Drosophila melanogaster: one gene and its partner. The gene in region 1 interacts genetically with each later gene. Each region holds a gene or a part of one and is shown on either strand. Other genes may lie near its edges.

Region 1 (8,425 bases):
TACCTTCAGAGATCATGTTTTTAATCAAATTTCTTTTTTCGACGGTACAATGCTTTATGCGACCCATGACTTGAGAATTTTGGGCCTTCGTTTGGAAAAAATTCAATTAAAACCTTCAATTCAATTCCTTTTTATAAAATGTGTGGAAAAAAAAACCCAAAGCAATCACTTCTATTAATATTATTCAGCAAATACGTGGTCAGTGCTATGTTTGTTACCGCCTAATTTCGCGCACTTTTGCAGCAAGTGCCCAAAAACAAAAAGAACCGTTACGTTGAGAGAGTAAAAATTTATTGCTCAGAGAGACCACATATGGTACTTATTATTCATGCAATCTGACTTAAAAAAAAAACATTTAATAATTTTTTTTTAGGAAATCAACTTTCCACCTGCAGTAGTGCTATTATTTTAACCGCAGCTCTATATCGGTTAAGTTTTCATTATTTGGGGGTCTATCAATTGACATCAGGGAGATGATTTTGTAATGTAATTTGTCTGTTTTTTAATTAATAATTTTGGGAAGTGCTGTTGCTTCTTTGCTTATTCTCTTTATTCAGGAACTATATAAGCTAAAAAGTTAAGATTAAATATGGCGATTCTAGAATCTCCGCAATTTGTTTTAAGAATAGATCATTTTATTCAATTTCTAAACATATTTATTCCTAGGGGATTTTCTAGGGAGAGTATCTTGCTTTTGGCTGCAGATCGCAATATGTAATTCCAGGTCCTAAGCAAGAGGCGAAGCCCATCAAATGAGGCAAGGTGCTTTGTTCGTAAACTCCAGTGAAAAGATGAGACCATGGACCTTGAAGAAGATATTCCACAACTTTATACATTTCAAGAGTTTTGATTAAATGCTTGGATTTAAGATTATATATATCATTCAAAACCCATCTAAAAAAAAAAACTTAAAAACCAAAAAAACATGAACTCACCATGAGCATAGACGGCCACATCGCCACCGCCGTGTGTCTCCTCGGTCATGGGCACTCCATGTGGATAGATGGCATCCGGTTTGGAAAAGTCCAGGTTACGGAGATCAACGCGCTCCACCACTCCGTCCGTCGATTTGTAGAATCTCTCGTAGGCCGGGCCGTTGGCATATGAGATGGACGTGTAGGGCAGCTGGTCCACATTACTTAGCTCGGAATTGAGTCCTACTATGCTGTTGTTAACATCCGGATAGCCGCTGATCGTGACCGTGTGTCCGTGATCCGCACTCACCACAATTAAGGTGTCCCAGGGATTGGTGAGTTGTCGTGCCTTTCTCACTGCGTCCGAAAACTGAACGGTTTCATCCAAGGCCTTCTTGGCCTTGGTCTCATGATGGGCGTGATCGATTCGACCGCCTTCCACGAAAAGGAAATACCCGTTTGGATCTCGGGAAAGCACATTTATGGCCGCTGCCGTCATCTCGGGTAGCGTGGGTGTGTCTATGCTGTCGTCCATGTGGTACGCCAAGTGAGAGGCATTGAAGAGCCCCAGCAGGAAGTCAGTGTTCTGCGCATCATTGTTCAGGAGATCCGTACGACTAAACACCACCCTAGCATTACCCGGCTTTGTTTGTTGCCATTCCTCAATGAGGTTCCTATTATCCAACCGCTGGCCCTTGTTTCCGAACACATCGTTCGTGGTATTGGGCAAGAATTTAATGGTTCCACCGCCCATGACCACACGCAGTCGCTTGCCCACATCTCCGTCTATCAATTGCTGGGCGATATCCGGACAGTTTCCTGGATTTTGACCCAATTTGGTCACGTCGTAGTCGCTCTCGAAATCGCGATTCGAAGTGTGCGCATAAACTCCGGCCGGACTGGCGTGGGTAACCCGAGTGGTGGTCACCAATCCAGCGGATTTGCTACCTTTAAGCGCCCAGGCGGCAATCGAGGAGAGCCTATTCTGCGGCAAGCGCGATCCCCTGCAGTCGTTCAACTCCACATCGGCTGTCACTCCGATGGTCAGATAGTTCGCCTTGATCCCCGACAGATAGGCCGATGCTGTGCAGGCGGAGTCAGCCACTTGCTTATTGACGCAATAAGTCTACAATGACAGAAGGGCGTAATTACTGTCTAGTTATTAACGGACTTAATAAATTTATTAGCAGTTTATTGAGATAACAAATGACTTCGTTGACTTCTAAGTACCTTGGACAGACCGACATAGTTGAATTTCTCGAACTCCAGACGATTCCGTTCGCCCACCACTCCACGCAGCTGTCCATCGAAGATCCTGCCTGCGGTTACCGTGGGAACGGACATACCGTCGCCCAGGAAAAATATGACATTCTTGGCACGATATTGGTTTGGTGGAGTGGATAGCTTATTGTAGAGCGTGCGCTGGGCGTCGTGAAACCAGAACTCCTTGCTCTTCAACTCGGAAATAGAGTCGAGGTCCCAGGATTGCTCTGAAAGTAATGCGATTTTAGCTTATTTCATTATAAATTAAGAATGCATATTATTCTGATTAATTGAAACCATTTTTTGTTACTAGCCGATATGCATACACATTTCAAGTACAACCTCAAGAATTTATCAATTCCAAGCACATGTTTCGTTTTACAAAACAAAAGCACAGACACAATTGCCATTGTTTTCCACTCCACTTTCGAATTAATCATTAAAAAGGGAAATTGCTTTCAGAAGATAGCACATAAATAAAACACCGAAAGAAACCTATGGAAATTAAGCATTAAAATTAATTCAAATTTAAATTTTAAAGTATTAGTCTTATATCCACTTTCGTTAAAACATTCTCCTTCGGAAAAAGTGATGTTTGACAGCTCTGTTAGCGGGTGTCAAATATTTAATTCAATTTACGAGTATTTTGCTGACGCCTTTTATACTCCGTTTAGCACTTGATTAATCAATTCTGCATATGTTTTGAGTTTGCTTTCGACCTGGCACACTCTCACTCGTTTTTCATTTATTCATTTCGGGTCTTTTGGGCCCGTTTCTGATCTCGGTCTTGACGTTACGCACCTGGCCCATATTTGTACTGGCTGCTACAGGCCGTGAGTTGGAGGGCAAGAGCCGCAAAGAACCGGAGAGCACGCATCGCACGGAATTTTGATGAACTAACTTTCGACTGGTCGGGGCGTTACGAAGTCTACGGATCGACTAAGCCGCATTTCGCAGTTGGAGGCTTATTTATACGAGCCCGGTAAGACAGGGACCGAAAATGCGAGTCGAATTATAAAAAAACACTGAGACAATAAATTAAAACCCGTCCCTGTATTATAAAGCTTCTAAATACACCTACCAACCGGAATTTCGGGATGAAAGAAAGGCATTTATGCCCTTATTCAAATTATGCAGCCAGCACAGCTTAGATTAAAATGATGTTCTCCAAAAATCAGGTTCGTTGCATTGGTCATTTGCATAATATCTTGCATCGCAGTAGGAGATGATGTAATTAGTGGATGCATCGAAGCAGCCTAATTCATTCTGCGATCTAAAGTTCATTAACCGTGCCAAACACCGGATACTGATAAATATCTCCAATACACTAATTTGTAACGTTAATTTGAATTAAGTTGCTTTTGATTTTTTTTATAAACGAGTTGCACTTATTTTGTCTACCAGTTATTTGACTTTTTTAAGAAAAGTAATAATCTTCAATTTTATTTCTGCTAAACAGGTTTCAAATACCCTGAGTTGTACAATGTTAAATTTTAAGTTTTGAATAACATTCTGGGTAAGCAAAATAGTTTTGTATACCTACATTATTATTAAATTTGGTATGAACATATTTATTGAACGGAAGGAAAACTGTCTAAAATTCGACTTATTTGTTTTATAAGGCATCATTGTTGGTCATTTTCATTTCTATACGACATTTTCCTAATCTAACATTTTAATTTTGGAGAAAAAGTGCAAAATAATAATTTATAATTTTGAATAATAACATTAAGCAGTTCATTTTAGACATGGATCGATTTTCAATAATAAATCTCAGGACTTATATACATTTTCGAGACAAAATATAGGGGGAAGAATATAATTAAAATGCAGTTCTATATATCTGCTATTTGAATGCCGCGCCAGATATCGATATAATTGAAGTGCTGTAAAGCGTAGCAAGGAAGTGATGCTAAACGCATCACGCGCTAAGGCACTTTTGGGTATTAGTCGAAAGTGACTTTCTCACAAGTTGGCAGTTCCATTCCAATTGTTGTAAAAACCTAGCTAAAATTTCAGTTTTGCGAACATTCCGCCTACTTAAATCAACAAATTTCAGATTGCGAAACGCGTAAAAAGTGCGAAGGAAATGCTCTAAGATCAAGGTCACCGGCGAAGGTCACCAACGACAGCTAGGGCAACCACAAAAGGTGTGTGGCTGTGCAGCAAACAAAGGGAATGCGAATTGCAAACATTCCGACAAACAGACAAACTAACAAACAAGCACGAATATAGAATATAGAATCAAGAACCTGGCTGAGACGCATAAAAGCGAATGTGATATAAGTGGGCCACGGGGCTAATTCGATTGTCTGTCTCTCCAGGAACAACTTGTCTCCAGCGATAACTCGAAGGTCATCAAAGTGTCTGCCTACGAAAGCATGGACTTACAGCATATGGAGAATGGTCTAAGCGGCGGGGGAGGAGGTGGCCTAAGCGAAATAGATTTCCAAAGGCTGGCCCAGATTATAGCCACCAGCATCCAGAAGGTGCAGCAGAATGGTGAGTGGCGTCGAAGCACTTGCCAACTTTCGCCTATGACTAATCTAGGTTTCTGTCTCTTTCGCAGTGTCCACGATGCAGCGCATGGTCAATCAACTGAACACGCCCCAAGATTCTCCGGAGCTCAAGAAGCAGCTGTAAGATGATTATCATTACGATCTCTTCGTTTGGAATTTAAACTGTCCCCATAGATAGAACCCATTGCAGATATACATCGATTATTCGAATATCTCTCAGACAAATCATAAATTCTAAAGACATAGTGAAGATCTCTATTGGGTGTTTACTCACAATGTCTAAAAATCTTCTTAAGCCAATACAGCCTTTTAATACATTTTGCGCACATCAACCGACCACATAAACCAACAGCAAAATAACATTGTAGTCAGTCATTGGTTTTGAAAGTTTAAACGTATCAGCACAGTGTGATTCACAAATCAAATCAATGTATAACGCACGATAAAAATAACAATCCCTTACTCCACAGCCACCAAATAATGACCTACACCAACCAGCTGGTGACCGACACAAACAATCAAATCAACGAGGTGGACAAGTGCAAGGAGCGCCACCTGAAGATCCAGCGGGATAGGCTCGTGGACGAGTTCACGGCGGCACTGACCGCCTTCCAGGTTTGTTTTTGTTCTCCCAGATAAGCAAATGGTTTTGTGAGTCATGCTGATTGTTTATCATTGGTATTTTTAGTCTGTTCAGCGCAAGACGGCGGACATAGAGAAGACGGCGTTGCGGCAGGCGCGCGGAGATAGCTACAACATCGCCCGTCCACCCGGCTCATCGCGTACCGGCAGCTCCAACAGTAGCGCCAGCCAGCAGGACAACAACTCCTTCTTCGAGGACAACTTCTTCAATCGCAAATCAAACCAGCAACAGATGCAGACTCAGATGGAGGAGCAGGCGGACCTGCAGGCCCTCGAGGAACAGGAGCAGGTCATACGGGAGTTGGAGAACAACATCGTGGGCGTGAACGAGATATACAAGAAGCTTGGCGCCCTGGTCTACGAGCAGGGACTGACGGTGGACTCCATCGAGTCGCAGGTGGAACAGACTAGCATTTTTGTCTCGCAGGGCACGGAAAATCTGCGCAAGGCGAGCTCTTACAGGGTAAGTGCCGCCCCTACAAGGTTATTATTTTAAATAATTTAAATATGTTGTTTATTAGAACAAAGTGCGCAAGAAGAAGCTTATTTTGGTGGGCATCCTGAGCGCCGTGCTGCTGGCCATCATCTTGATACTCGTTTTTCAGTTCAAGAATTAGAGCCTTCCGGCATCTCCGAATGATTCAAACCAAACTAGTAAATTGTTGTGAAAAGACAAGAGTTGCCGCATGCAGGCCCCTAAACCCCGTAATTCCCCACCCAATCCTTTGGACCTTAGGCGAGATTATGGCTTTAATCCTTAATCCAACTTCCAATACTGGCTGAAATCGAAAACTGCGACTCGTAGACGAAGATATAGTGTTTTGAGGAGTATTCACCGGCACGTGCATCTGTTATATTTGCTTTAAAAACAATTTTATATTTTATGTGTACTACTTTTATTATTACGCACCCTGTATATTGATTATTAGTATTGATTAACAACTGTTGGCTTCAAATTCTAATTATGTTCCGAAACTCATTCGCCAGCGCTTTGTATTGTATTGTATTGTATTTAGAGTTAAGAGGCAGAGGAAGCCATATATGCGATGGCATACACACATGTACGAAAAATGAAATAATAAACATGAAAATCGATCCTGCGTGCGTTGAAAACACTTGGAGCACTTCATTTAGGGCCCGACCTGAATGAATCAATGAATGGAACTCGCCAGCTCTTCTGGGCATTCGGAGAAGTGCATGGTCATCGACTCCTCCTTGGCTTAGCGATCATTAAGATTTCGTGTTGGCCATTGTTACGCATGCTTTAGCGGCTTAGGAGCTCCCATCTCCCGACTCCCAACCCGATCTCGATCCCAAAACATTGGTACCAATCCGACTATGTGTTCAGCGAGCGCACACTCTCCGATGGCACATTAATGCCGCGACAGACCTGGATGCGGTGGACCCACTTCAGCTTGCTGCATCGTTGAGGTGTGTCAGCCGGGGCTAAAGGGTTTCCTCGTCGCCGGACCCCATCTTCCTCCACATTTGAAATTCCAGCTCCGCAGGCCTGCATACAAATTGAGTTTAAATTTTTTGCCAATTCACTGACATTGATAGTTCGTTTGGGCATCATTTGTGTGGTGGCTTCTTATCCACTTGTTGGCATCGAGTGGTTTTCTCGCATGCATTTAAGTGCAGCTCATTTCCTTCTCGAACTCGCCCCGGGGCTCGCCAACAATCATTTCCCGCCAAGTCATCCAGTTTTTTCTGGCCCAAGTCGTTTCGGATCTCTGCCCTGTGGTTCGCGGGGTATATTGAATCATTCAGGAGAGTGGATTAGGTATTTCAAATGGGGAAAAGTGTGTTATTTTCAAACTAAAAGGTGAGTAATTACTATTATAATTGTGGTAATGATATATAATTTATAATGTTATTTATTAAATCGCTGTAATATTTTCATGTTAATAATTGGCCTAATCTGATTCTTAGATATATTTGCTGGTAAATTTAATTCTTTTACCTAAAATCGTAACTATTATTGAGTTTAATTTTCAAAATATTTCTGAGTTCGCAGAGTATCTGAAAATGCCCCTGAGGGAATTCTTACCCATTTTCTGGTTGTTTCTTTTGGTCCGCTTGGCTGTCAGTGGTTGTCCAAATACGTCACCGAGCTGCCCGACCAAGTCGACTGGGAATTATTGATTACTCGTCCGTGGGGCCAAGGGTTAGGCCCCGATTGTTGCACGGGCATCACGGCCTAATCACATCGATTATGACTACATGCGGCACTTGGCAGGTTGGGCAGTGGACAAACCGGGACCAAATCCCGACCCGGGGCCATGGGTCACGTTGTGAGCTCGAGTGGCGGAGGTGTTGGAAATTAAGAGAAACTATGCACACCTACATGGCCCACGGAAACACAGCAGGTAGTCAGTCGTCCGGCTGTCTTGGCCAAAAGGCTGCTGTTTGCATAGGCCGTAGTCGCTAAACCTGGAACCATGACAATATTGACATCTTCGGTGGTCGACGGACATAGCCACCGAATCTCATTTGCAAAGTCATTTTGTCCAAATAAATCCAGCCTCCGTCTTTGGTGATTTTCCCAGCATAATAATGTGCGACCGAACACAAGCCGCATGTTTTGACTTTGGATGGCAGTGGAACGTAGAATGGCCAGTGGAAATTCCGGAACTTGGTAAGCGCTGGATTGACTTACCAACTTGCTAGCCAGGATTTTGAAATTTCTGGTCCTGGGAAAATTGCAGTTTAGAGGGGAAAACTGTGAAATGGCAATCGCGCATCTTCCGGCTCCTAAACCCCGATAATCCCTGCACATTTCGCACGTTGCTTTGCAATCAGTTCCCTTCTACGTACATATAACTCTGATGATTGTAGCAATGATGAGGTTGTTGTGCGTGGTGGATAAACATCCGGTTTATGGCATTTCCCAAATCAATAAACTTATTATTATCCCATTTCCAACTCTACCAACGCTACCGCGCCTCCCATTTTATTTGGAAAAATTCTTAATTACGCGTTCTTATGAATGGAAGACGTAGTGGCTCGATTCTTCTGCTCTTACAGCATCTTAAGTGGAAATACTTGCCGTGGAGGGCTGTAAATCTTTTGAATTTTTATTAAAAA
Region 2 (6,395 bases), on another chromosome or scaffold:
CATGCGCCCAGAGGATTATGCACAGGTAAAAGCCTATATGGAGGCTGAGTACTACACATCGGAGCCTCTGTGCCAGTCCAGCGGCGAACCCGTTCACCAGCAGAACGAGGAGATCAACGACGCCTTCAACCAGTCGATAATCGCCGAGGGCACCAGCCTTTTGGCACTGGATGAAAACGATGGTGGCCGGATTGTGGGTCTAGTTCTGGCATGTGCCAGTTATCCCGATAATGTGAATGCAGGAACATTGAATTTGAAGCTCGAGAATGTGGAGGATAACGCTTGGGGTCGAATGTATCATTTACTAATGAAGGCCAAGCGCGAAGTCAATCTGTTTGAGCGCTACGACATCCCGAAGGCGCTCTACTCCCACGTGACCAGCGTGGCCTCGTGGAAGAGGGGCAAGGGCCTGGGCTCCCGCCTGGCCGCCACCCTGATGGAGCTGGGCCGATCGAATGGTTTCCCCCTTATGATGGCCTTCTGCACTAGCTTCTACTCCGCTCGCCAGAAGGGGGCCTTGGGCATGGAGTGCATCTATTCCATCGACTACGCCGACTATAAGGACGATGAAGGACGAGTGATCTTCACACCGGCAGCCCCACACACAAAGCTGCGAGTGATGGCAATCAAACTGTGACAGTTGATAACAAATAACTGAGTCGAGGAATTTAAATAAATTATATAACTATAGTTATGTTTATTTAATACTTAGCACACTTTTGGGGGACCTATACAAGTTGACCAATGACCAATGTGTCTCGGACTTTAAGATAAGAGGCAAGATCTTGCACTGCTTTATTCTTTCGGTTCATAGTAAACAATTCAAACGGACGCGCCAAAATACAAAAACGTCCTTATCGATAACTCGGAAAGCAATTGGTTTTGATAATTAATCAAATTGATGTGTGCGATAGTTTCCGCTCACCGACCATCGCCCACCGCTAGCTGTCATTCGGCGACGCGACGAACTGAAATCAACGTGCTTATTTTCCGCTCGGTAATTTGCCAGAAAAAAACTAATCGAAATGGGCGTACAAGTAGTTCCAATTGCTCCTGGTGATGGTGAGTATCCAATGATTGGGTTAGAATCCGCAAGAAATGCCGTAAACTACCGGCCTTTCTAACCTATTTAGTGCATTTTCGCAATGCACAATTCGGAAATACCTGCGACAATATGGTCGTCCCGCTCACACACATCCATTTTTGCATTCCCCGCCCGCAGGCAGCACCTATCCCAAGAATGGCCAAAAGGTCACGGTCCACTACACCGGCACCCTGGACGATGGCACCAAGGTGAGTACGAATCCCGATCCTCGCCATCCCCAGCTAATGATCCGCCTTGAATTCCACGCAGTTCGATTCGTCGCGCGACCGCAACAAGCCATTCAAGTTCACCATCGGCAAGGGCGAGGTCATCCGTGGCTGGGATGAGGGAGTTGCCCAGTTGAGCGTCGGCCAGCGCGCCAAGCTGATTTGCTCGCCGGACTATGCCTACGGTAGCCGTGGCCACCCCGGCGTCATTCCGCCCAACTCCACCCTCACCTTCGACGTCGAGCTGCTCAAGGTCGAATAGGCGCACAGGATGCCCAATGTGTATACCCCAAACCAAATCGCAGGGGGTTGCGGACCGGCGCACCGGCGACGAGCCGAAGAACATCATAATCGGAACCAGAACAATCCAGCAGCATTTGCCAACCCAAAATAATAATGATAACTTCATACACAGCTCTAAACTAGAACTAATTTAACCGCAAAGGGAACGCATCTTCTACCAATACAAATAAACATTTATTCAAGTCAATGACAAATGTCTTTCTTATCAAAAATCTTGGGATAATCCAATCAAATCAGCTGCGGTTGCCTTTCCGTGCTGCAATACAAATGCATTTCATATTATTTTTTAATCAGGAAAATATGCAAATATAAAAACGCTTTATCATTCTCTTGATAGACTTGAAGTGGTCTACTTGACAAATTTGATTTTATTTTATATAAGTATATAAAGTGTACAAGCATCTTATTTGCATATATATTCGATTTGGAAACAGGATTTTTTTTAATTCTTTGTGCACAATTAATCCAAATTATTTTTCATTTTCTATACCACTTCCAAAATCACCTAGATACGCTTCAGTTTTTGCAGACCAAGCTCATAATCTTGTCAATAACTTCATATCGCTCCTTTTCATACTTCTTGATATGCTTTATCCAGTGTCCGCGCACTTTCTTCCAGCGGTTCATATTGGAGGACAGAAGATCGGAGGTACTGGCACCTTGGAGAGCCTTTTCCCGCTTCTTGTCCTCCTGGCTGAACTCCAGACGAGGCGGAATTATGGGCAGATCCGTGGACTTGGCCTGCGGGAGCTGGTTGATCACCTTTATCTCGCCGCTTTTAATTTGGGACAGGATTTCTTCGCCGTTGTCCTCACGTTTGGTGGCCGTGAGTGAAGCATCTGTTTGAAATGCACCCACAGCTGGATTCTTGGGTTGATTTGCCATCCATGCGCGGCATATGGGGTACAAAGGAGTCTTATCCTGGTATTTGGACAGGTCCAAACTTCGCTCAAACAGGCGCATTACGTAGGTCTCGCCGGGCGCCTTCTGGGCGACTGCCGCTGCTCCAACGCTCTTCTTGTAGAGCACTCTCCTGGCCTTGATGCGTCCTCCGGCGCCGGCTGCGGCTGCACTCGAGGATGTCGAAGGCTTCTCGCTAGAGCCCGACGTGACCGTCTTGACTTTCGGATCTAGCTTTACCTGGTACTGACGCTGCTGTTGCTGCTGGATGAGCAGCTTCTTCGAGGGACGGCCCCGAATGGGCAAATCCGACTCTGCGTCGTCGTCCGGCGGCAGGTTTGTCGTCTCTGGTTTCTGCTCCTCACGGCGCGACTCCCGCAAGCGCAGGGCCGTTTCCTTCTTTTTCGGCACAGTCTTCATTTCCAGAAATCTTGTATTCGACACGAAAATTAAGGGAAAACAATTTCGAATGCCGAATCGGAAATCAAACGGACTTACGGCGCTTCACAACACTGAAACACCACTTCGCCACGCAACACTACATAAGTCAGTGGTATTTCAAAAAATACCATAAATTAAAGAAAACAAACGGTCTTGGCGCCTAACGCTAGCTTGAGAAATAATTCTTTGAATTATTTGTAGCTTAAATGAAAAGAAAAAAGAATAACATATATATTTTTAAACAAAAACTTAATACACATTAATATTTGACTATTCAAAAATATTTAATAGACTTTGATTGTTAAATTAATACTTTTGTAGATTAAAAAAAAAAAAACAAGGAAATGAAAGTCTTAAAAATTTGGTATTTCTCGATTTGGTAATTTTAACCCAAAACCTTTCGGGCTTTTCAACCCACCTTTTATGGTCACACTGCTGTTTTGTGATCGCGAAAAGAGCGACGTGAAAAATACATTTAATTAAGTTTACTGCGAAAAATAAAATAAATAACTAAATTAAAACAAAGCGGAGCTTTTGCGTGAACTGTGTGTGTAGTTGTGAGTGTGTGAGAAAAGAAAAACGAAAACAAAGCCAACGAGGAAATCGAAGGGGCAAAAGTGGAAAAGATTCAGATTGAAAAGCACCAAAATATCGAAATCACAATTTGAATGTCAAAGAACAAACGACAAAAAGAGCGGAGCAACAAAGGAACATTGGAAAAGTCAAGAATTTAACTTATTCGGTAAGGATGCAAATTGTAAATCTGTGGATTTTGCTTCTTCTGCTCACGCACACATCCACATACAATTGGGAAGTGCACAGGTGTGGGTGGATCTGCTCTGTGTGCAAATAACAAATTGTGAAAAACAACTCGCACACATGCAGATCACCTAGTGCACCAAATAAAAGCAATAAATAAACACATTTCCAAACGGGCAACAAGTTGTGAATGCGTTTTTTAAGGGGGAGGGGCCATACCAAGTTTCCCAACGTTTCACATTTTCAATCGATCTCGGTTGTTTTTATATATGTATGGATATTTTTTATCTACTATTGCGTAGCTGCCAATGTCACCTGTTTTTTGCTCTCTCTCTCTCTCTCTCTTGCGCTCTCTCCCTCCCTCTCGCTCGCACCCACGCTGGCTGTAGCTGGTTTTTATCTTGTGCCGTTAACACAGCCATTACGTGTCTCTTTCGCACTCGCACTGCACATTGGTGTTCGTGTGTCTGTGCAAGACTGCACGTAACTGTATTACCCATTCGTACATGCGTATACGTATTTCCGCCTATTGATAACGGCTGAAACTCCCTCGAAATGGCCGTCTTTTCGAAATATGTAAACGAATCGTTCGGGTACATCCCCCGACCACCACCCACCCACCGCCCACTCAACCCCCTCCAAGCGCTTCTAATCGCAAAGTGCAAATATTGATTTGCTATGTGTGCTTTTAGATTTTCTCCCACTATCAATAACAATAAGCGCTCTCTGTACGTTGTTTTTGCTTCGGTTTGGTTTCGTATTAAGAAAACAAGTTCACAAGTTTTTGCACTTGTTATGCACTGTAAGAAAAACGCAAGTTTTATTCAAGAGCTCCGCATTACCGCATTATATTGCCAATTGTGAAACTTTTATAATATTTATACTAGCAGCTTAGTTTTGTAACTTTCGGAAATAAAAAGTTTTGGTAAAACAAACAAGAAACATTTTATTTATTTTTTTAAGTGTTGATCATTGTTGCTGTTTCGTTTTGTGACTTTGTTTATGTGGCGGTTTTCTTGTAATTGCGGGAATTTCCCGGCATTTCAGCAGTTGAGAGTGCAAATATAAAGCAGAGAGAGAAACCCTCATCTGTTTGTGATTATCTGAATTCTTCTTCCGTATTTAAGCGTTAACTCTGCTTTTGAGCGACAAGGCTGTTAAATATTTTCAGCTATAACACCAAAATTACCCTTTATCTCGCAATATATTAATAAATACAAGTCTCCAAAAGACGTCATAAATTAAAACGCGATTTAAATGACGTTTAAAGCGACTTCTAATTTATGTATGTTTATCACGAACTAAAAATTTAATTACTTTATAAATTTTAAATTCTCAAGATAGTGAGCAACTATGTATGTTTTAAAGAAAAAATTGTTGGAGTTCCACAAAATTTCGTTTGAAAAATTGAGTTTTTATGTACCAAATATGCAAATCAAATGAAACTTAAAAGCTGACTTAGAAATCCTTTTGTTTATATGGGTGAAACTAAATAAATCCTTTTGTTTATGTAAATCACGTTCGATTGTGTGCTTATTCCACGCATTAATAACTGCCTTACTCCATGCACAGAGTACAGCTTTTTTGAATGTCATGCTGATATGACAGAGCTGAAACGCTCTTCTGACATAATAGATTAATACGTATAGACTCATTTTCATAACGTTGGTCCTTCTATTCAAATACTGTATCAGCAAAACTTAAGAATCTTACATCTAAGTGTTTAACCTACTTGAGTAACTACTGTACGGTGTATTCCTGCGATCTCAATGAAAACTTTCCCATCAATTTAAATCTATCTTATCGCCAGCAATTTTGTTGATATTTAGCTTCGGGAAGGGACGAGTTCAGGAAAATATATAGTATATGTGTGTGTACATATGTATGTCCCCTGTTGCGAAGAGACACAAATGTCGCGCGATAACGTGGGCAACCGCAGCACACCTGGTTGGATTTGGACATCGACTAAAAATAACTCCGCTTCGATTATTTTCACAAATTTGAAAAGGCAAATTGCGGCGATTGGAGGGTTCATCACAAGCCTCCAACATCGATAAATGAATACCGTGTATTAGTTATTATTTCAGAGGAGACAGGCGAGGTGTTCCACTTTGATTTTCCATAGCGATCGCTAAGTTCCATTGCCCCTCCGAGTTTGATTCCCATGCCCATATTCAATTCTAGAATTCGGCAATGACGTCAAGGCCTGACGTCTGCAGAAAATTCCGCAAAACGCCTCTTCAAATTATTGGCGAGGCAAGAAAAGCAAAAGAAAATCGGCGAGCGAGCAGCGAAATACAAAATAAAATTATTTTCGTTCCATTTTTCGTCTTTTGGTATTTTGTGTGGCTGCTTCCATTCCATTTCATGTCTCTGCATTTGATTTATAATTTTCACAATTCACATACTTTTCGTTGCTCTATCTCTTTTTTATTTAATTTCCGACTCGTTTTTTTTTTTTTTTTTTTTTTGCGACAAAGTGAAAGTTGTTTTCCATGTTATTTACTGCTGCCTCTTTCCTTCGTTTATTCCCTTCGCATTCCCTTTCCCGTTCTTTTCGTCTGTCCATATGTTTTGTGTTTCAAAACCAAGTTGAAGGTGCGGGAGGGACGCCATCTAGTACGTAGTTCCTTTCGCAATTATTTTTGTATTCAAGCATATTTTTGGCGATTTTTTGTTAT

Evidence for each region.
Region 2: of Syx7 (region 1) and Tab2, changing one suppresses a phenotype caused by changing the other (phenotypic suppression), as found in Drosophila melanogaster (one study listed by BioGRID).

What each region holds. Positions count from the first base shown.
Region 1 is NT_037436.4:21,441,697-21,450,121, forward strand, and holds Syx7 (syntaxin 7), read left to right. Parts: upstream 1-4,137; 5' UTR 4,138-4,327; intron 4,328-4,464; 5' UTR 4,465-4,558; coding exon 4,559-4,679; intron 4,680-4,746; coding exon 4,747-4,816; intron 4,817-5,166; coding exon 5,167-5,311; intron 5,312-5,384; coding exon 5,385-5,801; intron 5,802-5,859; coding exon 5,860-5,955; 3' UTR 5,956-6,432; downstream 6,433-8,425. Other genes in the region: Alp1 (alkaline phosphatase 1), read right to left, coding at 675-826, 936-2,040, 2,145-2,404, 2,979-3,054.
Region 2 is NT_033778.4:19,289,164-19,295,558, forward strand, and holds the start of Tab2 (TAK1-associated binding protein 2), read left to right. Parts: upstream 1-3,365; 5' UTR 3,366-3,697; intron 3,698-6,395. Other genes in the region: AANATL4 (arylalkylamine N-acetyltransferase-like 4), read left to right, coding at 1-637; Fkbp12 (FK506-binding protein 12kD), read left to right, coding at 1,026-1,062, 1,223-1,293, 1,355-1,573; mip40 (Myb-interacting protein 40), read right to left, coding at 2,131-2,934.